4 linked regions of the Stegostoma tigrinum genome follow. The protein of the gene in region 2 interacts with the protein of the main gene of each other region in a pairwise test. Links are inferred from orthologs where the notes say so. Each region holds a gene or a part of one and is shown on either strand. Other genes may lie near its edges.

Region 1 (6,832 bases), on a different chromosome or scaffold from region 2:
GGAGAAAAAAAGGTGTCTTCTCCAGGATGGCGGTCAAAGACTAGTGGAATACTGCAAGCATCAGTGTTGGGATCACACTATTCATATTATACATTACTGATATGCATTAAGGAACTGAGGGCATTGTTGCTAAGTCTGTAGATAACACAAAGACAGGGACAGGTAGTGTTACAGAAGCAGGGAGGCTGCAGAAAGACTTAGGCTAGCAGAGTGGACAAAGAAGTGGCAGATGGAATGCAATGTGGGAAAGTGTTAGGTTATATATTTTGGTAGGACCAATAGAGGCACAGACCATTTTCTAAATGGGGAAATTTGAAGCAGTAAGGGACTTAGGAGTCCGTATTCAGAATTCTCTTAAGGTTAACATACAAGTTCATTTTGGTAGTTAGAAAGGCAAATGCAATGGCAGCATTCAGTTCGAGAGGACTAGAATACAAATGCAGAGATGTACTGCTGAGGCGAAATAAGGCTCTGACCAGACCACATTTGGAAGCAGTTTTGAGTCCCAAATCTAAGGATGTGCTAATCTTGGATGAAGTCTAGGGGATATTTACTAGAATGATTCCAGGAATGAACAGCTTGTCATTTGATGAGAGTTTGAGAACTCTGGGTCTGTACTCAATGGAATTTAGAGGAATGAGATTTGAATCTGATTGAAGCTTGCAGAACACTGAGGGGGCTGGATGGTGTGGATGTGGAGAAGATATTTCCAATGGCAGTAGAGTCGAGGACCCAATGACACAGCCTCAGAGTGAAGGGGTGATTCTTTAGAGCTGAATTGTGGAGGAATTTCTTCAGCCAGAGGGTGGAGAATCTACGGAACTCGTTGACACAGGAGGCTGTGGAGGCCAAGTTATTGAGACAGAGATTTGAGACAAGTAGACATTGGTTCTTGATTTGTAAGTAGATCAAAGGTTAAAGGGAAATGGCAGAAGAATGGGTTTGAGAAACATACCAGCCATGAATGAATGGTGGAGCCGACACAATGGGCTGAATAACCCAATTCTGTTCCTGTATCTCACTAAATCATGGTCTTATCTGGTCAGGTCTAATTGTGATTCTAGACAAACTGCAATGTGGTTCAATCTTACCTGTCCTCTGAAATTATCAATGAAACCATTCCATTCAACGGTAATTAGAGATGGCAACAAATGCTTACCAGAGATATCCACTTAGTAAGAACAAATAAAGAAAAATTATAAGGTGAGCAAAGAACAAAATTCATATTTGATATGGTAGCAAGGAGAGTTTAAATAACAAAAGAGATTGTGACGCAGGTAAAAGGGGTGACAATGGCTTTGACCTGATAAAAGATGCAAAATGTGTAACTAGAAAAGCTCTAAATGGAAAAATACAGAATCATCGCTTATGGATGTCATTTAAAATAATGCGGTTAAGTTTATAATCTGAAATTGATGAACTCAGTGCTAAATCCTGAAGGCTGTAATGTAACTTGATGAAAGATGAGCTGTTCCTCAACGTCACGTTTGAACTTCATAGAAAAGTCATGAGATCTCCAAACAAGATAATGTTAGAAATGGGCCAATGTAGGAAACTGAGGTCAGTGTTCAAGTGGAGAATCAAAACAAATAAGTCACATTGCAGGTGAGAGCATGCATATTGCTTGAAAGAGACACATGTAGCTGAAGCTTTTTATCATGTGCACTCATCAAGACAAATGCAAAAATGCCACACGTCAAATGATGTTCATACGATAGGGGAAGGATTGGTTGGCAAGCTGATTTCAGTTGGTCAAATGGTGACATGAGGGGGATGCAAATGATGAACAAAAGCTCTAATGAAAGGAATCCTAAAATAAAGCGTTAAAATAACAAAAGGGAGGAAAGTGTGCAAAATGGAAAAAGAGAATCATCACAGACTGGCCATCCAGTGGAACCGCCCTTTAGCAAAACAGCGACCGACTCAACTCCAGCACCTTGAACGCACATGCGCTGCAAGAGTAGAGCCGTATCTCCCTGACAACCAGGACTGGGCTTTATGGGTAATATCATGCCGCAGACCAAAATGTTGGCTGACGTCATGGTCATTTGCCAGTGGGTGGGTTTTGAAGAAGATGGCAACGGTCATGAGACACCGCCTCCGCCGCCGGGTTGTCATGGAGACGACGGGGGCGTTGACACATCATCTCCATAACGACCGAGGGCGGGGGATTAGGTATTATGGGTAGCGGCGCGTTCGCGCCAACCGCGGCTTGGTATCCACAATGCCCCGCGGTTAGGGTGAAGGGCTGTCGCTTTTGAGTCTGGGTCGTGCGCCGCCATTTTAGTCGTGTTTAAATATCGGAGAAAGAAAAAAATACACAAAACTCTCTCCCCTCAGATGCTCAAAAGAAAAAATTAAAGGCGCATCTCGCAGCTTTTTTTTAAAGAAACCGTCCTATTCCTCCCATCTGTAAGCCCCTCCCTGCACCACCGAGCAAAGAAGAACGAGATGAAGCTGACGGATAATGTGCTGCGCAGCTTCCGAGTGGCTAAGGTATTCCGAGAGAACACAGACAAGATCAACTGCTTCGATTTCTCACCCAACGGAGAGACGCTCATCTCCAGCAGCGATGACGACTCCATCGTTCTTTACGACTGCCAGGAGGGCAAGTGAGTACTTTCACCGCCCCCCCCCCCCCCGCTCTCATTTCAGATCAAAAAGACCCTCCCCTCTCTGGGAGGCCTAGAAATCCCGGCCTTGATTTTCACAAAAGACCCTGAGCTCGGGTTGCGTTGCGCGGTCAGGAGAGAGAGAGTTGGGGGCTGATTGCAGAGCCAGCCTGCGGCGAGGAGAAGCTGGAAAGTAATCAGTTGCCTTGGATTATTAACTGGATTTAGGAAGAGGGCAGTCTCACGTTGGAGGCGGGAAATAGTGATCTGCAACACGATGTTCTGGGTTCAGACCGTCGTCTGTGGTGATCACTAATAATGTCTCTTCGATATGCTTCGTAGCGAAGAGTGCATCTGTAGGATTTCTTTCCCAAATGTTGCAGATAACAGCCATTCAAGGTGGAAATCGTAGCCAAACAAATCACGATGTTAGTAGCCTACCTCGATGCAGAGCACATGCGCTCAACATGCTACAGTTGAGGCAGACACCTTGCATCTGTTTACCGTGTAATTCAGTAAAGTTAACCAGACTTTTATAAATCCATGTAATAAATCCGTAAAGCTGGCACTTAGTGTGACCCAAAATCTGTGCACAGTTTAGGTCTTGTGGTGGAATGTGTAGCGCTCATGTCTCTGAGTTAGAGCTCTGGATTCGATTTCTATCCGCGAACTTTTGATATGTCTGGATTAAGTCCTGTCTGTCCTGGAGATGTGCCATTGTGTGTCAGAACAAGTTGTTTAGCAAACTGCAAGAGAATATGGGCTAGTATAGTGTGGTGTGGTGTAGTGCCACTGTGTCTGGGCCCAAACGTCTAGATTCAAATCCTACAAAAGTGTTACATAATTTTATTCATCCTGTTTAGATATATTATTTTAGAATTGTAACTTGATGGAGAACAAAGACGCATCAATAATGAATTTCAGAATTTAGGCCCTAAATAGCTGAAAGCATAGCCATTCAAGTTTTGAAGAAAATATACATAGTAGATCTGAGAAATGGAAGGGACAAGATTGTAGAATGGTTACCACATAAAGGGGAACTATTTATTTATATTTTAGTGCCCTAGATGCTGTTTTTCATGAGAGATGTAGTTTAAGTCTTTTTGAAGAAAATTGACTTGTATTTGTTTTTGCCTTGTATTCTTTGCATTGTGTTTTTCCTGTGACAGAGTTTTGTGGTCACTAGACTTCAGTATGTAAATCTCAACAGTAAGTGTTGGCAGGTTAATCCATTATTACAGGTGGCCTCAGTTGAGTATGTTATTGTTGTTCTTTATTGTCCCTCCATGCTGATTTCCAGCCTGTCGCAGCTAATTCTGTAAAATTGATGTGTAGCCTTATATTAATTTGAGTAATTCAGTTTATAAAATAAGTGTCATTCTGATAGAGAGCTCTGAATGTTATCAGGATATCTGAGTTACATTTTAAAGTAGTAAATTGTTTGATCGTCTCCGACTAAGGTAGAGGATGTCATAACTGCTTCAGTACCTGTTGAGCTGTGTGGTTGGCACTGAGTATGATGTAAGAGGTTTGCAATTTCCTTGTTTTCTCTTCACAGTAATGATGCATGTGGTTTGTGATTTTTGTTGGTGTCGCTGTTACTGAAAATCAGGTCAGCTAATGAGTCAGTAAGTCATAAGGTGTCCTTTAGTTGACCTAGTTTATTTCCTTTTTATGGATGGTCTTGTAACCAAGCCGTAGTGTTTCTGATTCTGGGTCAGAGGTATGTCAAAAACATGCCTGAGCAGGTCCATTTTCTTGTGGTCAAGAAAATACTTGACTGTTTTAACAAAGGACAGCATTATATGTCAGTTAGTTAATCAGTTACATACAGAAGCATGCATCGATGATTTTGTTGCCTTTTCTGATATTTGGGCATGACTACATAAGGGAGGCCTTGAAACTAGACAACAGTAAAATTTGGAAAGAACAGTTATGTGAACTTCTCTGCAACAGTGTGTTGAGGTTAAATTAGACATCTTTTCTGATAAAACTTAACATCACTTAATGTAATTTCTTTCTTACCTGTCAGACCAAAGAGGACACTGTACAGTAAGAAGTATGGGGTAGACCTGATCAGATACACACATGCAGCGAATACAGTGGTTTACAGCTCTAACAAAATCGATGGTAAGTTAGCTTGTGTTGTACAGATCTCCAGCTGTTTAGTTTCTCTTGCTGTGAACTTCTCCAAATCTGGGACATCCTTTGCATCTCTGCAGAATCAGGTTGTGGTGTAAAGTTTGTATTTATCTGTTACCAGTACATTAACAGTTTTTATAGAATTAATGTTTTGCCAGTTTAACACAACAATAGTTTGTAACTTTTTATTTTGTTTGTTTGGAAGTCTCGCCACCTCTTAAAACATATTTGATCCTTTGTTCTCAGTTTGCCATTGTTTTGGCTGCCTTTATAATTTTTCTAAAACTTTAGACCTGCCTGTCAAATTGCTGGGGGACCAATGTGTATTTGCATTTGCAGTTTGGTTTTGAAAGCAAGTCAGTCTTTTTATTATTTCCAAATCAAAATAACTGTGAATTTGATTTTAATATTTCAATTGATCTGGAAGTTGAAATTTGTAGATTAGAAGATGTGTCGAATTAATTAACTTTTGAGGGGGAATAAACCAGCAAGAAATAGAGAGGAAGAATGTAATTTTTGGGGCAGTTGTTTTCTATGCAAAGTGTTGATACTATTTGAAAGGAAAGTAACCAATACCTTACTACCTCATTGAAGTGGGTGTTATTTACATGAGACATGCCACCAAACTATCTGATACGTTTTAAAGGAGAGAATTGTGATCATCACAATGGAACCTCGTCAAATTAGCTATTTTCCTTCTTGTACACAGGGACACTTCACAAGGATGATGTTGACTCAGTGTGGTCTGATTCTTTGCTTCCTTTTTTGGCCCTTTGATCGAGGCCTCCAGCATGGAGGGTATGGCAGCCGGTTGTGTTCAATGCCTCACTAGTTAGGCTTGGCTTCCTCAGTACAGAGTGGAAATACAAGCATGCACGCACTTTATTATGACAGCTTTTGAACAAAAATTTTGTTACAGTAGCTTTGAAATTAAATGGTTAAAGTATGAAAAATTGTTAGGAGCCAAAAGAGATGGTGTAGTGTGCTGCTATTCTGTGTGTAACTTGCTTATGCTGATGTTACCCTTTTTGATTTCAAGTGTTATCGATGCCCAGTTTTTAAAGAGAAAACTTGTGATAAATTTAAATGTCATTATGTCCTTAATCTGATATTGTGCGTATTTTTGTTTCACTGGGTTCTAATGAAACACTAAGTACTGCTTCGGATGAGTTACTAAACCCAATCATGTGAGAAATGGGAATTGACTTGTTGAAGCTGAAGCATCTTGGGGGTGCTTGGCAAGTGAATGATGTTGATTCCTTTACCTCATTCTGTTCTGTAGTTTAACTCTTCAGAGAATAATGTGATCTGTAGGGACATGATTGCAGTGGAAAATACTTGCACAAATCAGTCACATGTATTATTATAAATAACTAAGTGTTCACGTTTCATCAGTTTATAGTACTGCAGCATCATGGTGTGTCTTTGAGTGGAAGAATCTCATGTCTAACTGTCCTTGACAGCGTTAGTGTTGATTATTGAAATTGGTGTAATATATTATAATGTAAATGTGCAATCTTTTATTGGATAATTAAGTGTAAAATTTTACATACTTGTGATTGCAATTTGAATACATTCTACAGGTTATTTCAGAGAAATCTGTAATTGAAGAGTGCCTACTAACTGGCAGTTTTCCAGTTTGTTTGGTATGTCCAGTCCCCATAAAACATAACAAATGTAATCAAGTTAATTGTGGCCCCAATAACTTATCCATCACTTTGTTGATGAGAGTACTGTCATCATCAGTGTTGTCAGGCAGTGCTTACTCACCCATAACATGCACTGTTTCTTAGTTTGGGTTCGACTCAGCTGTAGATCTCATTTGAGTCTGACGCCTAGCAGAGAAAAGAGCTGAATTTCCAGTGGTTGTAATGTAGCTGATGTTGACGTAGTAATTAACTTGTCATAGCATTAATGAATCTTAGTAAAAAAGAATTTAGTAGGAATCTAGAGGAGCTCCCTTCACAGGTTGCACCTAACACAAGGTGAATAAACTTGTACTAAGTGAAGATCAACTGTATTAATCCTGGAGTTTATAAAATCATGAGGGACATAGATAAGATGAATGACAAGGGTCT
Region 2 (6,897 bases):
ACAAAGAAAGCCATTAGTAAATACATAGAACTCGACCCCATATGCACTCCACCTCGAAGGAAAACTGCAAGTGAGACAATCCAGCTCAAAGGACTCCAGAGTTTAAAAACCAGGTGGGAAAACACATCGACACTTCATCTGAGGCTGCACTGCATGGTAACGAAACGCCTGCGGAACAACAAACTAGCTCGGCGAGCCAACCAACTTCAACAGGGAAATATGCCTGGAACCCTAGACAATATTTATCCTTCGCTACCAGCAAAATTAGTAGGCCATCTAATTTTTGTTTTTGGGATTTTACTACAATAAAATGATGAGTCAAGGCCTGCAGAAGGGTCAATGGGCTTAAAATGTTCACATTTTCTCTTCATGGATGCTGCCAGATCACTGAGATTCTCCAGCAATTTCTATTTTTTGTTTGTCTGTTGTGTTTGGCAAAAACATTTAAGTACGAAAAGTAATGCAAAGAACTTTGGGATTTATGTGATATGAAAGTTACTACAAAAATTAACATTCTTGCAATCTAATGCAAGACAGGTCTCAAGTGTTAAAGAAATCCTTTAACATTAACTGAATGTACTGTTACGGTCAAATTACTGGTCTTGTTAATCAAACTCATGGGCAAAAACTCCAACACATGGAAAAAGCCTCCAACACAACTAGAATTTAACAAAATACATGGCAGCTCATGTTAAAAAAAGTCAATAAATCCAAAGTGTTCAGGTCCAGATTGTATTTCAGTTTAAAATAGAAGTCAAAATCCTAAAGTAACTTTATTTGCTCTCTTTTCATCCACCCAAAGAAAGCCTGTTTGCATAATGCTCTGCAAAACTGATTCCTTTTTTCTCTCCTGTTTCAATAGACAAGCCAAATAGATTCTTTCCTGCCAGATTTCAATATCAAGATGAAGCTGTAGAAAGTTTCTAAAATTGAAGACCAAAAACTGCAATTTCAACATAACAATGATGTCTGAGGGGGCATTAAACTTTCTTGACAGCCAGCTTTAAGGTCATAAACACCTTCAGTTTTCTCGTCATGCATGAACAATCAACAGTCCCAATGTGGAGGAGCCACTGACAACTTTGTGAAAGCTCATCTTTACTTCATGTGTTTGACTCATTTCTCACGTTAACTTTGCAAAGTCTAGCTCTAAAATCACAAATGAAACATGGAATCTTATTTTTGACTTGAGAAAGCATACATTTGTCTTGCTTCTTTTCAGACTTGAAAAAACCTGAAAAATGAATCATTCCAAACTACAGTAAGTTAGCACATTTCCACAACACGCAGAACATCAAAACTTAAAGTCAGTGCTAAGACCCCAATTTCCCTGAGCCACAGTTGCAATTATGGGAAGATATCAAAGATAAAGTTCCAACTATCTTTGTCAATGAGCTCATTAAAAACAAAGTCAGCATTTGGTGCCCATCCCTTGTCATCCTTGAACTGAGTGGCTTGCTAGGCCATTTCACAGGGCAGTTAAGAATAAACCACACCGCTGTTGATATGGAGTCACACGCAGGCTGGGTCAAGTAAAGGTGGCAGGCTTCTTTACAAAAAGCAATTAACAAACTACTTAGGTTTTTAAAATAATCGAGATTTGTCTTATTGGCATAATCAGTTTTTGAATTACTTAAGTGAATTTAAATTCCCATTGCTGTCATGGAATTGGAATCCATTTCCCTGGAGCCAAAGCCTGGGCTTCTGGGTTACTAGTACCTTACCATCTCCCCTTGAAATAGAGAGAGAGGGGGAATCTGACAAATATATACCCTAATTACAATAGCAACTATTACCAAGGTATTGAAATGATTAGTCTCACAGTTAAATATTAACAATTACCTATGTTAGTTTTAGTAGCCTAAACAAACTGTAGTGCTGCAGAAAAATCTTTTAACCTTAATATAGTATGGCTAATATTTGAGAGAGAGTAGGAAGTGCAGATGCAAGAGAATCTTAGATAACAAGGTGTAGAGCTAGATGAACACAGCAGGCCAAGCAGCATCAGGAAGGTTGACGTTTCGGGCCTAGACCCTTCTTCAGAAATGAGGGAGGGAACGGGAGTTTTGAAATAAATAGGGAGAGAGAGGGGGAGGCGGATAGATGGATAGAGGAAGAGGAGAGAGACCGATCAAAGAGGCGGGAATGGAGCCAGTTAAAGGTGGGTGTAGGTGGGGAGGTAGGGGCGGAATAGGTCAGTCCAGGGAGGACAGGCAGGTCAAGGGGGCGGCATGAGATTAATAGGTGGGTTGCTTGGCCTGCTGTGTTCATCCAGCTCTACACCTGGCTAACGTTTGATTTCTTTTCGGTGATATTAGTTTTTGAAAACACTGTTTCTTAGTCAAAAAAACCTCGGGCTTAAATCGGCAAAGCAATTTACAGAAGAAATGCAAACATTTTAACAAATAAATCTGCACCTGGAGCAAACATTTAGGACGACTGAATGAATCACTGATAGCAACACCAAAAGTGAAGCTGAAGATTGTAAATAATCAGTATGTGATTAAATCTTGCTGACACTTTTGAGAGCGAGGGGCTAGTCTTACCAGTGTCTTGTCGGAACTGGGTGAGTGTGGGGATATCGATGATGTAGGGAGCCAACCTGGGCTCGGCCTGGCCCAGGGAGATGCTGTTGATTCCTTTAGCTGTCGCCGCAGCCGCTCCCTGCAAATGCTGGAGGTTGCGCTCTATGTGCTCGCTCACCCGGCTGCTGTAGGGCCTCCAACGACCCGCCTCGTCTTCCCACTCCCACACGGAGACCAGCGGACCCAGGCCAGCTCCTGGGCCCGACACAGAGAAAGGGGTGACCGAGAAAGCCGAGCCACTGGCACCGAGGCCCCCTCCTCCAGCAGCTACCCCGCCATTTCCGACGCCCTGACTTGCCATCCTCGTCCTCTCTAAAGTGGATTTACGAGTTTGTATCGGCTACAACAACAAACACCGAGAACTTTCCGATTCAAACTCCTCCCTCTCACTGTTTTCCTCGTCTCCAGGGTGTCAACGCCAGCGCTGCCTTCTGGGAACTGTAGTCCTTTCCGGCCAACAGCGCCGGAAGCCTAGCTGCTGTTTCACTAGCTGTGAACAACAAATCCCATGCGACCCCGCTCCAGCGAGCGCCCACTCTTGACGGCTGGTGTCAGGTGCGAGTCGAGAAATGAAACTTGGTAATAAACTTTTATCGGAATGATAGTGTATATCTGGCGGGGGAGACTTAATTACACAGGCCACATAAAGTGAACTCTGTAATTATAAACATCACCAAGGTTTCAGCAATACCCACGTGTAAAAACAAAATGCATAATCATTGTAAAACACAGTGCTGGAGAATTATAAAACTCCCAACAGTCATACTAAACGCGAAACGTTAACTTTGTTTCTCCTTCCAAAACCAGAGTTTCTCCAACACTGTTTTTATTTCAAAATCTCCAGAATCCGGGTATTTTGATTTTATTTGAGTGCATAATCCACTTGGCACGTTTAGGAATGAATAAGCGAACCGCTGCTCCCATTTGTCTACTTTATTTCATGCTCCTGTCAACGCTGGTTTCGCAGACGCACATTCAATTCGGGGTCATGCTAGAGCACAATAGAATAATTGTACAGGGCTGATGGGAAAATTCGTGTCCGGAAGATTATTTCTAAGGCAAATTATCATTTGGAATGAATGCTGCGTTCACGAAGACAGCACAGACTGGTACAAGGGGTAGTAGTAACATCCTGGTAAATCCAGTCAATAGGTGCAAATACATTTATTTCTCTCCCAAAAACTTATGAAACGATGATGAGAATTAGACGAGTTATAAATCTGCAGGGGTATTTCTTTTAAATCCGATATTAAATCAATATAGCGTCATTGTGGTACAAAGAAACATCTGGGATTTAAAAAAAGGTAAATCCACCTTCGAAATTGACTAGTGTTTCATTTAATTGTATTCTGTGCAGTTTTTTTCAAAATCACCACCTTATTTTTCTTAAGTGGTGCTACGTTCACTTAAGCAGCTGTATTATCTAATTATTCCAGCCATATGCATTTCAGATCCTTACACTAATTCAGTGTCTTTTTAAAAAATACGTGTCTCTGCTTCTATTTATGGTACCATACTTCAGAACTACTGTGGTCTTTTAGCTGGATCTCTTAAGATTTACCTTTGCAAACTTGTCAATGACCACAACATTCCAAATGGTTTACAGTGAATAAAGGATCTTTTAAGCAGTCACTTTGATAATGTAGGAAATGTACAGCCGTTTCCACACACCAGGTTCCCACAAACAGAAGTATCATAATAATGATCTCTATTGTTAAGGATGTTGAAAGGAAAGAAAAGTCAGAACACAGAGAGAACATTCCTGTTCTTTCCATGGGACAATGGGAACTTTTACTTGAGATGATAAGGCGACAATTTAAAATCTGACTAATTGGGGGAAAAAGCCTCACAGTACTATGCTTGATGTGTCAATTCAGATTACGATTTTCAGAGTGAAATTTAGACCCACAACTTCTGAGTCAATGAGGAAATTGTTACAGTTTGAGTCATGGCTGGTTTAAACTTACATCCTTTTTAGCCCACTCAGGCAGGTTGAGATTCCGCAGCATGAGATGTACATAAGAAAGTTTTAATGCTTTATATAACATTTACTTCTCAAATAGCAGCTTTATCTCAAAAAATAATTTTTATTCATCTCATTGTACAATTTGGGATCTTTCTGCGTGCATTTTGATGTCACATTTACCAACAAAAGTATGAGGGTCCTGTGTTGTGGTGTTAGTGTCACTATCTGTGAATCAGATGGTTTGGGTTCAAATTCCATCTGCCCTGCAAATGTATTACAGCATAATTTGGCTATAAAGTATTTTGACATGTCAAGTGGACCTAAATAACTCTGTACAGTGCAGTTCTTTTAGAATTTGTGTAATTATTTTTAAAAATCAGTGTGCAAAATAAAATTACAGTGAAAGGAATAGGCCTAAACAGGGAAGTGATGGCTTGGTATAATTATACTAGACTATTATTCCAGAAACTTAGCTAATGTTCTGGGGACCTGGGTTCAAATCCCACCACAGCAGATGGAGGAATATGAATTCATTTAAAAAAATACTAGAATTACAGATGTAATAATCACCATGAAGCCATTGCTGATTGTCAGAAAAATTTGTCTGGCTCACTAATGATCTCCAGGGAAGGAAATCTGCCATCCTCACCTGGTCTGGCCTACATGTGGTTCCAGACTCACAGCAATATGGTTGACTCTTAACTCCCCTCTAAAATGGCCTGGCAAGCCACTCAGTTCTTGGGTGGTGAGTAATGACCAAAACTATGTCCCATGAGTGAATAAAAACAGTTCTAGAATTATCTTTTCTATGTTCCCCCTCCCTCAAGGGATAACATTCTGTTTGAGTTTCATGTTGAGACCATTTGTGCAATAGAAAGCAAATAAACCTAATTACTCAATATTTCATTATCAAACTTACTATACCCCAGTGGTTTGCTGTGATGGCCAGGAGCTGGCTACAAGATTGGTGATCTGGAAAGTAATGGTTTTGGCAAGGAACTGGCAGAGACAAAGGGGATAGTGACCAGATGAAATCAAAGAAATGTCCAGTAGTAAAGACAGGTGAATGGGAAAGACAGAGAATGACTTCAAAACGATACAGAAAGAATACCTGTAATTTTATGGGTGGCACGGTGGCTCAGTGGCTAGCACTGCAGCCTCACAGCGCCAGGGACCCAGGTTCGATTCCAGCCTCGAGTGACTGTCTGTGTGGAGTTTGCACGCTCTCCCCGTGTCTGCGTGGGTTTCTTCCGGGTGCTCCGGTTTCCTCCCACAGTACAAAGATGTGCAGGCTAGGTGGATTGGCCATACTAAATTGCCCGTAGTGTTTAGGGGTGCGTGGGTTATAGGGGGATGGGTCTGGGTGGGATGTTTCAAGGGGCGGTGTGGACTTGTTAGGCCAAAGGGCCTGTTTCCACACTGTAGGGAATCTAATCTAAATTGACCACAGTGTTCAGGGATGTGTAGGTTAGGTGGGCTATAGAGAGTATGGGTCTGGGTGGAATGCTCTGAGGGTTGGCGTGGACTTGTTGGGCTGAAGGGCCTGTCCCCACATTGTAGGGATTCAATGATTCTTAATAACTTATCTTAAACAAAGTTAAATAAATATTGACTTCAAGCAATATAATTCAGCAGAGACATCTAGAGGTGATAGCTCACAACTACAAGCAAACAGCTTTATTTTGTGATAATGGGAACTGCAGATGCTGGAGAATCCAAGATAATAAAGTGTGAAGCTGGATGAACACAGCAGGCCAAGCAGCATCTCAGGAGCACAAAAGCTGACATTTCGGGCCTAGGCCCTTCATCAGAGAGTCTAGGCCCAAAACGTCAGCTTTTGTGCTCCTGAGATGCTGCTTGGCCTGCTGTGTTCATCCAGCTTCACACTTTGTTATCTCAGCTTTATTTTGTACTTGCTACCTGATGAGAGTACGATGTGACAGTTTGCGGGACACTCATAAAAGTGCCTTGTGTTGCTCACTGATGTGTTGAAGCCTCTCACAGGGAACCTCTATTGTTGAAAGAGGACAGGGATGAAATGTCACATCAGAAGGTTGAAGGACTAATTCCCCAATATCTGAGAATCCTTGATCAGTTGTCCAGCGTCACCTACAATATTTGATGTGTATATTAGTTGTAGTAACCCACCATTAGGATTAATAGTATTAACACAGTAATAAATATACATTAATTGTAAAATATAAACAAAGTATAACATGTCAAACATAAACATTAATTATATAATTAACATTCATAGTTTACATTTTAATTATTAATAAAGTTAATGATATAATTTAGGATAATTTATTTCCCAACCGCCAACTGAAATCCCTGGTGATTGTGCCC
Region 3 (7,191 bases), on a different chromosome or scaffold from region 2:
ACCAAGATCTTTGTATCCTCACCAGCCACTGGAAAGGCCCCAAAGTACTAAGTGAGTGGCTTGTGTTGGTCCTCTGTTCAAGGAGGGAACTAGAGATAATCCAGGGAACTAAAGGCCAATAGTCTCACGGTGGTTGGAAAGTATTAGAGAGAACTCTTAGGGACAGGATTTATGCACATTTGGAAAAAGCATGGCCTCATTAGGGCCAGTTAGCATTAGCTTTGTGCAGGTCATGTCTTACTAAGATGATTGGCTTTTGAGATGGCCACAAAGGCGATTGAGGGTATTCAGTGGATGTTGTTTACATGGATTTTAATAAGGCTTTCAACAAAGATCCCTCATGGTAGGCTCATCTAGAGGATTAAGTTGCATGGGATCCACGGTGACTTGGCCACATGGATTCAGAAGTGGCTGGCCTATAGAAGCAAGAGGGTATTGGTAGCATCTTCCAGGCTGGAGATCCATGACTAGTGGTGTTCCACAGAGAATCTGCACTGGGACCTCCGCTGTCTGAGATTTATATAAGTGAATTGGATGAAAGTGTAGATGGATAGGTTAGCAAGTTTGCAGCTGATATAAAGATCGGTGGCGTTAGAGATGGTGTAGAAGTTTGTCAAAGGACAACAGGATATGGGCAGAGAAATGGCAGATGGCGTTTAATCTGGGTAAGTAAGGTGCTACACTTTGGGAGATCAAGTGTTAAGGAAACATAGCTGGTGGCATGACTCTTAACACCTTTGATGTACAGGAGGATCTTGTGGGTTCAAGCCCATAGCTCCCTGCAATTAGCCAAGTAGATAGGATGGTAAAGGTGGCATAAGCATGCTTGACTTCATTGTGGGGAATTGTGTAGGAGAATCAGAATTTCATGTTACAGCTTTTAAGATGTTGATTAGGCCACAGTATTGCAGTCAATTCTGGTCACCACGTTACAGGAAAGATGCAGGGGCTTTGGAGAGAATGCAGAGGTGGTTTACCAAGATGCTGCCTGGACAAGAGGTTTTTAGAGTGGCTAGAAAAACTCAGTCTCTGCTACTCAAAAAGGAAAACAAAGGGGAGACCTGATACAAATCTATAAGATTGTGACGCATGGATAGAGTTGAAATGTCTAATACTAGGGGGCATGCATTTAGGGTAGGAGTGGGGAGTTCAGTGGAGACAGCAGGAGCAAATTTTTTTTAAAAAGTACAAGTCTGGAACACTGCCAGGGTGGAGGAGGAGGCAGATAGATGCATTTAAAAAAGGACTTTCAGACAAGGACATGAATATGCAAGGAATAAAAGGCATATGGACCAACAGCAGACAGAAGGGATTAGTTTAATTTGGTGTCATGTTTCACACATGATCATGGGTTGAAGGGACTCTCGTACAGTTTTGTGTTGTACTGTTTTAATACTTTAGATCAAATCCTAAAATAAACTTGCCTAACAGCACTTGAGCTACAAAAAAAAAAAGGCAGTTTACCACCAGCTTCAAGGGGCAGTTGGAGCTTGGTATTTCTCAAAGTGTAGCCAGCAGTACTCAGATGTTAAGCAGAAAGTTAAAGGCAGATGATGCTTGATACTTGGAAAATAGAGGTTGAGTGGGTCACGCTACCCATACTTTCACAGTTCATTAAAACAGCGACTGCTGTTACATGACATCACACCACAAAATGGTTTTTAGTCATACCTCAAAACTTTGGTCAATTGCTATTGACTTGTGTCCACTCAGCTGCACCAAGTTAAACAGAATCTTCCAATTTTGCTACAGCTGGACACAGTCATCAAGACAAATTCTTGAACAGAATTTGTTCTATCTATTAATCATGATCCATCAACTTGACAAGTATAGCCATTACTAAAACAAAAATAAATACTTGCAAGCTGTAAGATCCAAAACAAGTTTAAGATGTCAACCACATCAGTTCCATGAAATGCATTTTAAATATTAACCCTAGCTATCACCACGTAATCCATACCTTTGAATATCGATACGGTTTCTTCATAACACAGATTTTTGGTAGATTAACTAATGGCTCTCCATTTTCTTCAATCCATTCTTTTTTATCCATGGCTGCCACGGAGGGCTTTGTGAACATGTCCCTTCAAACGAAAACAAAGCTTCAAACTCAGTCAATTCGAACATTTAAAGCTACTGCACTTTAAAAAAAGAACCCAAGTCAGTTCGGAACGCAGTTAAAAGCTACAAAAGAAATTTAATTTCCATTCCATCAACTACTGTTGCGCTAGTAGTGTTACACTATCGTACAGCACAGACATCCAAGTAGCAATTGCGCAGGTTTGTCTCCTCACCCACTGGGAGAACGCAACTGCAACCCGTTCTCCCTTTGAAAATTTTTCAGTTTTGAAACAAGACGGCTTGCGAAAAAGGTAAAATTATCCCGACTTCACCACAGCCAAGGCACACTAGGAACAAATGGCCAGCTATTTCATTTGACGTCGCAGGAACCCATAAACAAAACGTGATATAAACAGGACGGGACAAAAAAAAACACACAGTTTGCTTCACCTGGTACAAAGACCGAGGCTAGTCGATGTTTTGCATGATAAACCATACAGACACACACCTGACAGAGAGATTCCGAGGCTGACAGTTCAGGCCTCGGACTGAGGAAGTTTGCCCGGGTGAGAAGGAGTGGGGATGAAAAAAAGACGTCCGGCTGCCCTGCCGGTCACCAGGTCCGGGCCGAGCGGAGAGAGTGCGCGAGGAGGGAGAACGGCCCGCCCGCCCGCTCCGGGCACTGGAGGGGTTTTTTTGGGTGGGTTGGGGGTTTGGTCAGACCCCGGCGCCACCCTAAAGACTGACTCCCGAAGACAGGAGGCAAAGGGTAGGCTTCTTCCCCGGGAGGGGGAAGTGAGTATGGAGGAAAGGGGAGGGGGTTACGGACACTCGGCCCCTCGCTTGCCGCCTCTCCCGCTCTAGCCTGAGCCGGAGCCGACGGAACCGGCCTGTGTCCCGAAGCCCGGCAACAGCCGCTTCGCGCACCCGGATGTACAGACCAACCGCCTGCCTGTCCCCACAACCAAAACAGAAAAAAACAAACACACAAAAAAAAGCCACAAGACCCGCACTTTCCTTTTTTTAAAAAAAAAAGCGCTTTCGATTACACTTTTAATAATTTTGTTAAGACCCCCTCTTCGTCCTCAAAAGGGAAAGGGCCCACAAGCAACTAGGATTGACGACTATATTTCAGACAATAGAACCAATCAGAGCGGAGGAGGCGGGGCAAGACCACAACGTCATTGGGTTAATCCCATTCACTTTTTCGTCTGATTGACAGTGATACCGGAAGTGGGCGGCTGAGTGCTGTCAGAGGCTGTCTATTGAGTAGGGCAGCCAAATGGAGCGTTCAGAGCAATCACATCATCCTGGATGATTAAATTTAATTCATCTCACATGTCATGGCCAATATCAGACGATATTGTTAATGCTTCTTTCTCCTCAACCACTGACCCCCCTCCCTGTGGAATTTCTTTCCCCACAAATTACTGTGTCACTGATTTTAGTCAAGGTAGTACTGAATAGATTTTTGTAAATGGAGTCAACAACTCTGGACCACATAGAGGAAAGTGGAGTGGAGATCACAACATGTCAGCAAATCAGCTTTCCCAAAGAGTCCCTAGTCTGGCATACATAAAAATGCACAGCAAGCCTCTGGACAATGTGGATCATTTCCCATACCTTGGAAGCTTCCTCTTGGTGCAAACAGACATTGACAATGAAATCAAACATTGACTCCAATAAACCATTGCAACTTGAGGAACAGAAAGTCCAGCAAATCCATTGCCAAGCTCATGCTATACATTGAAGCCAGGCTCCCACCCTCCTGTATGCAGCAGAAATATACAGCATGTACAGTAGATATCTCAATTCATTGGAGAGTTATCACCACTGCTGCCTTTACAAAATCCTGGAAATCCATTGGCAGAATACGTATACCAACACAAGCATCCTCTCCCAGGCCAGAGTCATGGATGACTAGCTGCTGTGGGTGGGCCCAACTCAGGACTCCCTAAACAGGAGTCTGAGCTCCGCAGTGGTAAGTGATCACCAGGAGGGTAAATGAAATGCTACAAGGATACTCTGAAACCACCTACCCAAACAAATGTAATATTCCCAACAATGCATGAGAATTGCTTGCCATAGAATGCACAAACTTAGGAAGAAGCATCCACAAAAATGACACCACTTCCAGTATCACCAAGTGGAGCACATGGAGGTTAAGCACAAGGAGGGGAAGGAGTTCACAAAATCAGAACAACCCACCCTCCTGCCTCATCAAATGTCACCTTCCCCTCCTATGGCAGAGTCTGTGGCTCCAGGAGTGAATTATGCAACCACCAAAGAAATCCCCCTTCCCCGCCTCAAATGGAAGGAAGTTGTCCTGGACCCTGAGGAACTGCCAAAGAAAAGAAGATTAGATCCTCATTAGTTATATGGGACAAATGTGATTCCAACCTCTCTGCCCGTAAGACACATGTCTATCTTTTCCAGATTTCACTGTTTGAATAACTCCAATAAGATTTTTCTATTTATTGGAACAGTCATCATTGCATAAATCAAAAAACAAACTCTTACAAGTGAAGAGGTGTGGTACAGAGCTAAACAAGTTGTTCATGGCTTATTTAAGCTCAACATTTCAGAGCTTCTTATTAAAAAATGTATCACTATTCTATTTAGTGCTTGGAAGCAGTGGCAGACTTGAACTAGCACATGGTCCCAAAGGTTAAAAAAGTAGACAGCAACATTTCCTGCCAAATTTTTGAAAATTGAGTCAGCTGACTTTTCAGATATTCACAGAGCTGCCTAAGATGAATATTTCTCCTATGTATACTATTGGGGAGCCTAATGCCTTATTTAGGACTCCTTGAGAAAACAGATATGCCCAAATATCAGGCTTGTCTCACTATAACAATTCTGAAGAAGAGTCATGACATACTTGAAACATTAACTCTCCAAAGATGCTGCAAAACCTGTTGAGTTTCTCTAGCATTCTCTGTTTTTGTATCACATTTTCATCATCTGCAGCATTTTACTCATAATTTAATAAATTATTTCTCGCCAGTTTAAGAACAAACATCAGGACTGTACCATATGTCATCTTGCAACTCACGCGTACATATCAGCAATTAGGTCATCGCTTAAGACCCAAAGCACATGTTTCGCAAGCTCCCATTTCCAGTTTCCTCCTCAAGCAAAGCACATGGGCCTTAAGAGGTGCATGAACAGTCTCAGATTAAGTGCATATATGTAAGAGTACTGTTAAAAATCCTGAGATTTCAGTTCTCCTGTGAGATTGTGGGTAAAGTTGAATATGAATGAGAAACCACATCTCTCACAATCACTTCAGAAGAGTTAGCACATCTATGTATGCTCCAATCGCAGTATTGATACAGCTCAAAGGAGAACACCAGCTTTTCCAAACCCAGGTTTGAAACTTAAATCTCTCATCCCTGGAACCATTCTGTTAAATCTACTCTGCACCTCATCATGGGTCCTCATGCTCCTCCTAAAATGTGGTGGCCAAATCAGTGGCGGTCAAAGTCACAAATAACAACATGTGACTGTGACCAGGATAAACTATTCCTTCTCTGGTTTTGAATCTATATGGACTTTGACATGGTTCACCATGCCAAACTCACCAACACTACTGGCCAGCTCGGTAGGGCTGGACTCACCTAGTTTCTCTTGTCTCTCCAGTTGCAGTCAGACAATTACCATCATTGATTTCTCTTCTCAATCCGGCCACATTGTCACAGAGTCATACAACACGGAAACAGGCTCTTTGGTCTAACTCGTTTGCATCAACCAGACATTCCAAAATGACCTAGTCTCATTTGCCAGCATTTAAGCCATTCCCCTCCAAATCCTTCCGATTCATAAACCCCTCCAGATAGATTGTTTGTGGTGTCTCTCAAGGCCTAGCCCTACCAGCTCTTATTTCTCATCTGTACACTTTGGTGGCACCATTTAAAAATACACCAACGGATTCCATGTATGGGCTGATAACACCCAACTCTGCCTCACCACACCTCTCTCAACTCTTACAGTGCCTCAAAATTGTCAGGCTCCTTGTCAATATCTGGGGCCTGATGAGCAGAAATTTCTCTGAACTAAATATACAGAACAATGAAGCCATTACAAACTTCATTTTTGAGTCACCAATTCCCTGCTCTACCTGGTCACTGTCTGAGGCTGAATTAAACTGTTCACAAGCTTTGTGTCATATCTGATCCTGATATGATCTCATCCTCACTCCTGAGACTGTCACCCAATTCTGACCTGCACCAGTGCACCTGATATTGAAATCCTCATTCAAGTTTTTGTTAATTAGGTCTTCACTATTCTATTCTATTCTTCCATTTCCTACAAATCAAACATTACGCCAATTTGCACCAAATCCCATTGACTTGGCCAACACATTTTAGGAGGAGCATGAGGACCCATGGTGCAGAGGAGATTTACCAGAATGGTTCCAGGGATGAGAGATTTTAGTTACAAACTTGGATTGGAAAAACTGGGGTCTCCTTTGAGCAGAGATTATGGGGAGATTTGATAATAATGTGCAAGATTATGACAAGTTTGGATAAGGGAAGCAACAGAAAACTGTGACTATTTTTGATAATACAAGGATGAAAGGGAAGACAGATTGAAGGTTTTGGTCAAAAGATATGTCAGAGATGTGAAGAGGAACACTTTAACTCAGCAAGCAGTAATGATCTGGAACTCATTGCCCACAAACAGAAACACCAGCAGGAAAGTGAATAGACACTTGAAGGATAAAACAACTTGCACAGCGACAGGGATCAAGAGAGGGAACAGAATTAACATTGAATTGGTCCACAGGAAGTCAGCATGGATTCAGAGAATCCCTTTTGCATTGTAAATGACTCTATGATTGTTGTACTTACTGACATGCATTGGCTTCCAGGTAAGCAATGCTGCAATTTCAAAATGATCATTTTTGTTTTCAAATCGCTCCATGGCCTAATCCTTCCCTATATCTTATGTTTCTTCCAGCTCCATGATGTTTTGAGATCCAACCTCCTCTAATTTTGGAGATCCTTAATTTTAAACACTCCACCATTGGTATTCATACTTTCATTTGCCTAGGCCCTAAGGTCTGAAATTATTTGCTAAAACTCTTTGCCTTTCAACCTTTCTTTCATTAATTGTAGCACTGTTGAT
Region 4 (7,766 bases), on a different chromosome or scaffold from region 2:
CAACATTGATCAGAAGCCAATCAATTTTTTTTCAGTTTGCCTGCACTCCTTCTGTAACATTAAGAGTGTGGCAGACCCTTGAGGTAGCCCTGTGGTAGGTGTGGGTGGGAGGATCACAATGGGGTAATCACTTCCCCCCAAACCCCCATTTCCCTGGCCACTGCTGCGGCCACAACCACCACTGGCCCACACTGCCCATCTCCCAGGGAGGAGGGGCTTGGAGGTGGGATGGTTCCCCATCTGCAACAGTGGTCTAGCCACTGCGGCTATTTCAATTTTAACTATTTCTGAAATGCTGAGAGGAAACTTCTCCATTACTGTAACAGCAGGCTGCAGTTCCTTCAATGCCACTGCGCCGTGATCACCCATTGACCCCCAGTTGGAAAGACAGTGAGTCGTCTAGATCTGAACTGGCCAGTCCTGCAAAATCATCTGTTGGATTGCTGCTCCTCAAATATTGTGCAGGGACATTACTTTATAACAGGCACCTTAGTGAAGCTAACATGCAAAAAGGGGAAATCACTTGATTCTGTCAGGCAGTTTTCTTCCATATCAGTGATGAGCACCATTATTTTGTCTCAGACCAAAAATTCCAGACCAATATCTCTTGACATGGCTCTGTGCTAAATTTTGATGATGACCAGTGAAGACAAATGTCATTTGGAGTTGTAGCATGCTTACTAGTTTGTTTTGGACCACAAAGACATGTTGTGCTTACGAAGCTAAATGAAATTAGTCCAGAAGTTCACTTGTTATGTTTTGAATTAAGCAATCTGTAGTTAATATCATCTTAACAAATTTGGACACATACATGAGGATTATGTGCTGAAGCTCATTTAAAATGTCTCTTCCTCTTATTCCATATAACCTGTAACATGGCAGAAAGCACCAGTATAGGTGGAGGGGTGACTGAGGAGAGACTCCTGGCCCTCACAGGAGAAGACCAGGACCACTCCAATGGGGATGCAGAAACATCCATGTCTGACCAACTGAGCAAAGACTACTTCTCATTACATTTTAATTCTTACAGCAAGTATCATTTATCACTCACCATGAGTTCTTCTGTCTCTTTGAAGGCACCATATCTATGGCCGCACCAGAGAAATGGCTTTCAATGCCAACAACACCTTCTTGTTGTCGGACGAAGAGAATTCAGAGGAAGCATCCTGTAACACCTAACAGCTCAAAAACTGACATCTCAGTGGAAGCATTGCATTAAGAAAGTTTGGAAGCACAACTTGGTGAGCACTTCACAGCAACAACTCAGCAAGTGCCTGAGAACAAGCTGCTGGCACCTAGAGGCCTGCCCGAAATCAGGTAACCACTCAGCTCCAGGAGAGCTGCCTGTCATGTCACCAATCGGGGATGTTTTCTAAATGCACTGAGAGGAAAAGAGGAGGCAGACAGTGAGACCGAAGGTTGCAGGAGTGTAGTTACACCATGGGAACCCAGCTGCTTCAAGCATATCATCATCTGGTTGCCTCAATGAACAGGTCGGTGGCTGGCATGAAGACCGGGACCAGGACCCTCAGGGTCTGTTGGATACACACATACACCTGTACTTCTTCAACCCAACCATTGGTCCTCATGACTTAGGGCATGGTGGCAGTGCCAGGGATCCTGGTGTGCACTCCAGGTCCCCATTCCTTACATGATGAAAGGGCAGTGCCAGGAGGCATCTAGCTAGAGGAGGAATCACACACACAACTTCCTGTCAGCGCACTCCAGAGATAGCCAGGCCTCCATGCTGTCTGCCTCCCAACTGACCCTTACAAATTGAAGCCATGGAAGACCTAGTTGCCTCCAGCAAGAAGGCCCTCGACATATCTGGGCCATCCAGAACAAACACCTCTAGTGTTGCTTGACCCAACCTCTGAGGCCAATGGTTTCCACTGCAAGCAAGCTGCCTCCACCCCAGAACCAGAGATAACATTAAGATGTAGTGGGAGGGAGAGGGAAAGAAACAAAAAAAAAATGCTTTTGAATATACTTTGGTGGTATAGGTGTGAAGGTTATTGGTTTTGCCTTACATCTATTTGTTTGAACCTCTGTGTGGTCCTGACTATAACTGCACCAGCATGGTGCCTAACATTCTGTCCCTACGGAACAAACTATGGCTTGAAGTCTGTGTTGAGACAATGCTGCAGTCTAGAAACTAGATGATCAAGGTGTATATAGGGCAGTGAGTTATGATGGCACCTTACCGTCAAACATCCCCAATCTTTCTCTGGCCACTATGCGGAAGTGTTGGTGTGAATGAAGTGGCCACCAATGTGTAGGGCAGTGAGGTGTAAAGCAAAGAGGGATCCAATGCATTAGTTTTGCCTGAGATTATTGGGCATTCAGGTCTATGTCCTGGACAGTACATGACTCTGTGTATGATGTTCTTGCCATTTAATGGGCTTGCAACCTTTCCCTCACAAGTTGAGACATTTACCCTGACTACTCTGAGTACAGTCTCAACCGTCTTCTTTCACATTGCATCATTCTGGTTCACAGCAAAGTGAAAGATGGCAGATATGCTCTTCAGCCAACAGCTTCTAACCTCTGCCTCTGTGAGTCAGGGAGGTCCTATTCATGATTGCCCTTCCCATGAGCTCCTTAGGCTAGGGATCTCCCCAGATCCCCATCAAACCCATTTCTGTGAACTTGTGCTTAAACACTTTACATCATCTCCTTCCCCACTGCAGCCCCTTTCATATGGGGACACCATACCAAGTGTGGTCATACACTACCTTCTGCTTGATGCTAGGGTCCTCCTGACCATGGATGAATATCTCTCCTGCAGTATCTCATTCCCATCCACACTTTACCATATCCACCCTTGATATATTCAGTTGCCCCTTCCCCCAAGCCGTCAGGTTGACAGCCCAGGGCAAGACAAACAAATAGCAGTTCACTTAACAGCTTAAAACAGAAAAACTATGGACTCCGCAACTTCATTGACCACATTGATGAATGCTAGTTGAGAATAGGTTAAGTTTTGTTTTCTTTGCTCAGATTCAGTTATCTTTTTGTTGATGTAGTTAACAGTTCGGAAGGAAGTATTACTTTCTCAATTCCCCCACATGTTCCTGCATCTCTCTCCCATTCACTGCTTCCTTCCACCAATCCATTTCCCTGCCCTTCAGCCCCTTCTGCCACCTTATCAATGGCAATCATTACTTTTTTGACTAATCACACTCATCAGTTTCTAACAGTTAGTTTGGAACAAGGTGAAACGTGAGGCAAAGAAAAAAAATCCAGACATTTTAGCGAATCATAGGTCCAAAATCACTGTTCTTTTCACACACAGTACAAGTGCCACGGTCTGGATTTTCAACCCCAATACGGGCTAGAAATCAGTAGCGGAAGGGAAATAAACTTTGCCCATTAACCTACATTCTGCTTCCCTGCCTCCAAATCCACAGTAGAACATGGCAATTAATGTAATGACATTGATTCAATGTGAATGACAGTTAAGTGCCAAGTAGCAATGCATATGATTCTTTTTATTCTTGCTGGCTTGGCCAGCATTTATTGCTTACTCCTAAGTGCCTTGGAGAAAATTGTGGTGAGCCACTTTCTTGAACCATTGACCCAGCAACAATAAAGAAATTGTTGAGTTTGCTCCAACATTGAGAAAGTTCAGGACAGAAATGGCAAAGTTTATGGACATCAATGAAATCAATGGATAAAGAAATAATGCAGGAAAATGGCATGGAGAAAATACCTGCCTTGATCTAGAATGGCAGAGCAAACACCGCAGCAGAACAGCCTTCTTCTGTGCCTAAACTGCAGACCACGTAGATGCCAAGATCCTGTTAACAACAGGAATCATGCTAGATTCATTGAATTAAGCCCTTGACTAGAAACAGGTCGGAATGAAGATTGAGTTCAGAGATTCTGCTCATGATTAGCACCAACAATTATAAAAGAGTTAAAGATCCAAAAGATGACAAAATAATCTATTTACAGAATAAAAATTAAGATTGAAGATGGAGAGATGAAAAACTAGAGGAGTAAAGAAAAGCAATATTTTGGACTAAAGCAGGTTTCAGACATCTAAGTTGTATTTGGAAAAAAAAAGCAGTGACACATCATAGAGCCAGATGGATAGGAGGGACCTGGAATAAACAAGATGAAAAGTAGATACAAAATCGATTAGCAAGATAGGAAATGAATTCTAAGTATGTTACTTGTTCTATAATTTACCATCTGTGATAATCTTGGGTCAGAACACTGTTCCTATGAAAGACAACATTATTTTACCCTTTAACAATGTTTCTGTGGAAGTTTTAAAAGTCAGCAATTTGTTGACTTTTTCTAAGCCACTCTTTATCCTTGTACTAAGGGCTCAGCTATCTACAGCCAGATATAAAACCGTATGATAAACACAAATCTGAAAGGCACAATCAGAAATGATTGTTCCCTTTAGTTAATCATTAATTTTGGGGAGCGGGGGATGGTGGTGGGGGGGGGCGGAGAGAGAAGTGGAGTCGGGGGTGGGAGGGCGCGTTGGATCTGCTCTCCACATTTCTTTTAAATGGTAAACAAGCGTGATTCATCACCAGGACGTAACTGTGGGCTGACTTAACAAGGGGTTGTGTTGGGTACCTTCACAGTAAGAGCTCTTAGGACCAAATTCACCCATCTGCTAGTGACAGCTGACTTCGTTTTTGATAACTGTGGTGTACAAACAAATAGGGCGGGCTCGGAAAAGTTTAAATAGCTGTTGTAAGTGTGTACCCTGGTTTATAGATTTGTTAACCTTGGATCAAAAAAAAATCGGGAATGCTGTACGACGTCTGAAGAGCTTTCGTACAGCCATTGATTGCAGTGATGTCAAACTGTTGAGGCTGCGAGTAGGATCAAAACCCGAAGTGCCTATCCAATTGGAAAGACTGAGAATCAGATTAAGGGGTTTGTCATCCGATACTGTGAGGACCCATCTCTCCGCAGACTGACCATTCACCGACTTTTCAAAAAGAATTATGATTTGATCCCAGTGGTTCCAGTAGTTTGAAGGGGAAGGGTGAAAGGCACACTGACAGCCCTTACTCGCTCCGGCATTCGCCATGAAGATGCCCATGAAGAGAGTCCCTGAGTCTCAGGGTTCATCTGTGGTTCACCTGCAGCCCCCGCACAAGCTAGTGGCTGGCATTCAGGACGAACCCTATATGACTCTGATCGGCAAACACTTGGCTTCGCTTGCGGAAAATTGCGGCGGCGGCGAGGAACTAGAGAAGAACTCATTGCCCGGTTGTGAAGAGAGGGAAATAGGGACAGATCTGGGCATTAAATCAGGTGGGATTCTGTCGCTTGCGACAAAGATTTGCGCTGTTGTCTACACACTTAAGGAACCTGTTGGGAACAGGGATTATTCAGCCATTATCAGAGGTCAAGTGTGCAGGGTCTCTAAAGTCGCGGTCCGTTTTAATTGAGTTTCCATCCCACGATCATTATTAAATTTAGCAGAGTAACAAATAATAAGAGGAAGACTAAAGCCTCAATGTGCAGTTGCGCTAATTTTTAGAATAATCAAAATATTGTCGGACCAATTAGATGGATTCCTTGAAGTGGGTTAACATAATAATTCACTCGAATGGTACAATTTAAATAATGCTGTGCAGTTCCGATAAAATAATCAAAAAAGTGCTAAATTTTAACCTTCGGGTTTGAGATTTTGAAGAATTATACATCATGAAGATGCAGAATCTCAGTCTGTGACCCCAATTTCTTCTGTTTGAATAGAACCAATATTTATCCATCTTTTAGGGTTTTCTTTTTGAAAAGATTTGGAATGCTAACACAAAAGGCAGTAGAGGCGTTGGGGGTGAAGGGGAACTGCGTATTGGCTAATCCTGAAAACTGTTGTCCTTTACAAAATTGTAGCGTCGAAGTCTGAAACGCTGATGGACTCGGGGACTCGACATCATAAACGATTAAAGAAATAAATGTTGGTAGAACCGAAGGTCCGCCTCAAAATCTCATTCTTTCCCCCAGAATCAGAAAACTGCAACGAAATCGCATCCTCTGAAGAAGAAGAAGGCCATGTTCCTGAAAGGAAAACATGCCTAAGCGAGGAACAACAATGTCAGAAAAAAACTATAACTCAGATCATCAAGGACAAGAAAAAGCAGACACAACTCACGCTGCAGTGGTAAGGACATGACGTGGAATCGAGATGAATCTAACACCACAACATTATTGTAGTGAATACAGATGGTAATAACTACAGATGCTGGAGTCAGAGATGACACAGTGTGGAGCTGGAGGACCCTCTCTTAGATCTGCTGCTGTAACAAAATCCCTTTTGCACGAAAACAAGTCCACACTGAATGTTTAATCCGATATATTGTTTTAAAATTTGCTAAAGACAAGCTGAGGCCCATGATTTCGGTTCACGTTTTAGTCAAGGGTCAGATTTGTCCCAATGTGTAGATAATGTTCCTAATTAATGTATCTTGCTCATCTCCATTGTCAGGTTGGAAGAAAACTATATCGTGTGTGACGGAGTCTGTCTGCCCCGGTGTATTCTCTATGCCCACTATTTAGATTTTTGTAGGAAAGAGAAGCTGGAACCAGCCTGCGCTGCCACTTTTGGAAAGGTGAGGCGTGCTTAATCACTGAGAACCCTGTCAGCAAAGAATGAAGGGAATGCTCCCTTTTCAAGAGATTTTTTATTAGCAGCTATATCCATAACTAAACTTGTCCTATACTATCACACTCACCTCATCTTCCAGTTTGATCCCTTATTGGATAATTTGAATTAATATATTAACAATTTTAATATGCTTAATATCATAGAATCATGCAACGGTAAAATCATACAACTTAGACCCGCTCACTACTTTTGTAAGTGCTGATTGCAATGAAGATACGCAGGCAATGTTCCCAAGCATTCGAAAAGACATCATACGAATAAACGCAGATTTTCTAGTATATATTGTATGTTCAAAAATAACCTTTTAGATTTTTCTTTCAGACAATACGCCAGAAGTTTCCTCTTCTCACCACCAGAAGACTTGGGACAAGAGGACACTCAAAGTAAGCCAGTTAGATATCACTGTTTTGTGAGTTCTAGTCGTCATTGTATCAACTTTCTTTACTATACAAACTTTGGACTTGTCAAACTTGGAAACATTCGGGCAAAGTATCATCTGATTTCTTAGCAGCAATTTTCTGGAGCTTATTTTACATCAGATGACATCAGACTGTTGATCTCGTTACCAGCTTCTGTCAAAATGAACTTCCTTTAAATCCTGATAATTGTAGGACAAACCTTTGTTACCTGTCCCAGTTCCTTACATGCCAATCCAACATGTTGTGAAAATGTGTGCATTCACGCAGGTGAAAAGGATTTCGTGTAAGCACTTGATTTTGATGGATATTGTGGTAGCTTGTTTCCTTATTGGGTTAAAGCAAAATTAACTTCAAAATCATGGCACTGTTTTGCAGATATCACTATTATGGAATTGGCATCAAAGAGAGCAGTGCATACTACCATTCAGTCTACTCGGGTAAAGGCTTGACAAGGTAAATTTATTCTATGTATGTCATAATAACATCCTTTTTCCTCCTTGGCTGAAAATGATTATTAGTGTAATCAGGAGCTGGCTTTATTAGTCAGCTGTGCCCTAACTTAAATTATATTTGCTGAAGAGAAAGCTAACAGGATTAGTGCAATATCTGTGACATCAAACAAAGTGCAATCTGTTTCGGAGCTGCAATAAACCTATTCCCAGTTATTGGTGGAACATTCTGGACACAAATAACGCAGGGTA

Evidence for each region.
Region 1: the proteins of dtx2 (region 2) and glyctk interact in binary tests that used the Homo sapiens proteins (3 or more experiments, as listed by UniProt). The two-hybrid records come from large-scale screens. The link is inferred for Stegostoma tigrinum from reciprocal best matches to the Homo sapiens genes DTX2 and GLYCTK.
Region 3: the proteins of dtx2 (region 2) and eif4enif1 interact in binary tests that used the Homo sapiens proteins (3 or more experiments, as listed by UniProt). The two-hybrid records come from large-scale screens. The link is inferred for Stegostoma tigrinum from reciprocal best matches to the Homo sapiens genes DTX2 and EIF4ENIF1.
Region 4: the proteins of dtx2 (region 2) and rfx6 interact in binary tests that used the Homo sapiens proteins (3 or more experiments, as listed by UniProt). The two-hybrid records come from large-scale screens. The link is inferred for Stegostoma tigrinum from reciprocal best matches to the Homo sapiens genes DTX2 and RFX6.

Annotation. Positions count from the first base shown.
Region 1 is NC_081364.1:12,379,395-12,386,226, forward strand, and holds the start of glyctk (glycerate kinase), read right to left. Parts: upstream 3,025-6,832; 5' UTR 2,613-3,024; coding exon of another isoform or gene 2,452-2,612; exon of another isoform or gene 2,209-2,451; intron 1,509-2,208; exon of another isoform or gene 1,092-1,508; intron 1-1,091. Other genes in the region: wdr82 (WD repeat-containing protein 82), read left to right, coding at 2,452-2,612, 4,645-4,742.
Region 2 is NC_081380.1:9,060,348-9,067,244, reverse strand, and holds the start of dtx2 (probable E3 ubiquitin-protein ligase DTX2), read right to left. Parts: upstream 3,009-6,897; 5' UTR 2,887-3,008; coding exon 2,547-2,886; intron 1-2,546. UniProt on the Homo sapiens protein: Regulator of Notch signaling, a signaling pathway involved in cell-cell communications that regulates a broad spectrum of cell-fate determinations.
Region 3 is NC_081379.1:46,712,329-46,719,519, reverse strand, and holds the start of eif4enif1 (eukaryotic translation initiation factor 4E transporter), read right to left. Parts: upstream 3,008-7,191; 5' UTR 2,570-3,007; intron 2,085-2,569; 5' UTR 2,081-2,084; coding exon 1,961-2,080; intron 1-1,960. UniProt on the Homo sapiens protein: EIF4E-binding protein that regulates translation and stability of mRNAs in processing bodies (P-bodies). Plays a key role in P-bodies to coordinate the storage of translationally inactive mRNAs in the cytoplasm and prevent their degradation.
Region 4 is NC_081357.1:60,760,851-60,768,616, forward strand, and holds the start of rfx6 (DNA-binding protein RFX6), read left to right. Parts: upstream 1-4,756; 5' UTR 4,757-5,057; coding exon 5,058-5,286; intron 5,287-5,985; coding exon 5,986-6,142; intron 6,143-6,466; coding exon 6,467-6,590; intron 6,591-6,967; coding exon 6,968-7,029; intron 7,030-7,440; coding exon 7,441-7,518; intron 7,519-7,766. UniProt on the Homo sapiens protein: Transcription factor required to direct islet cell differentiation during endocrine pancreas development. Specifically required for the differentiation of 4 of the 5 islet cell types and for the production of insulin.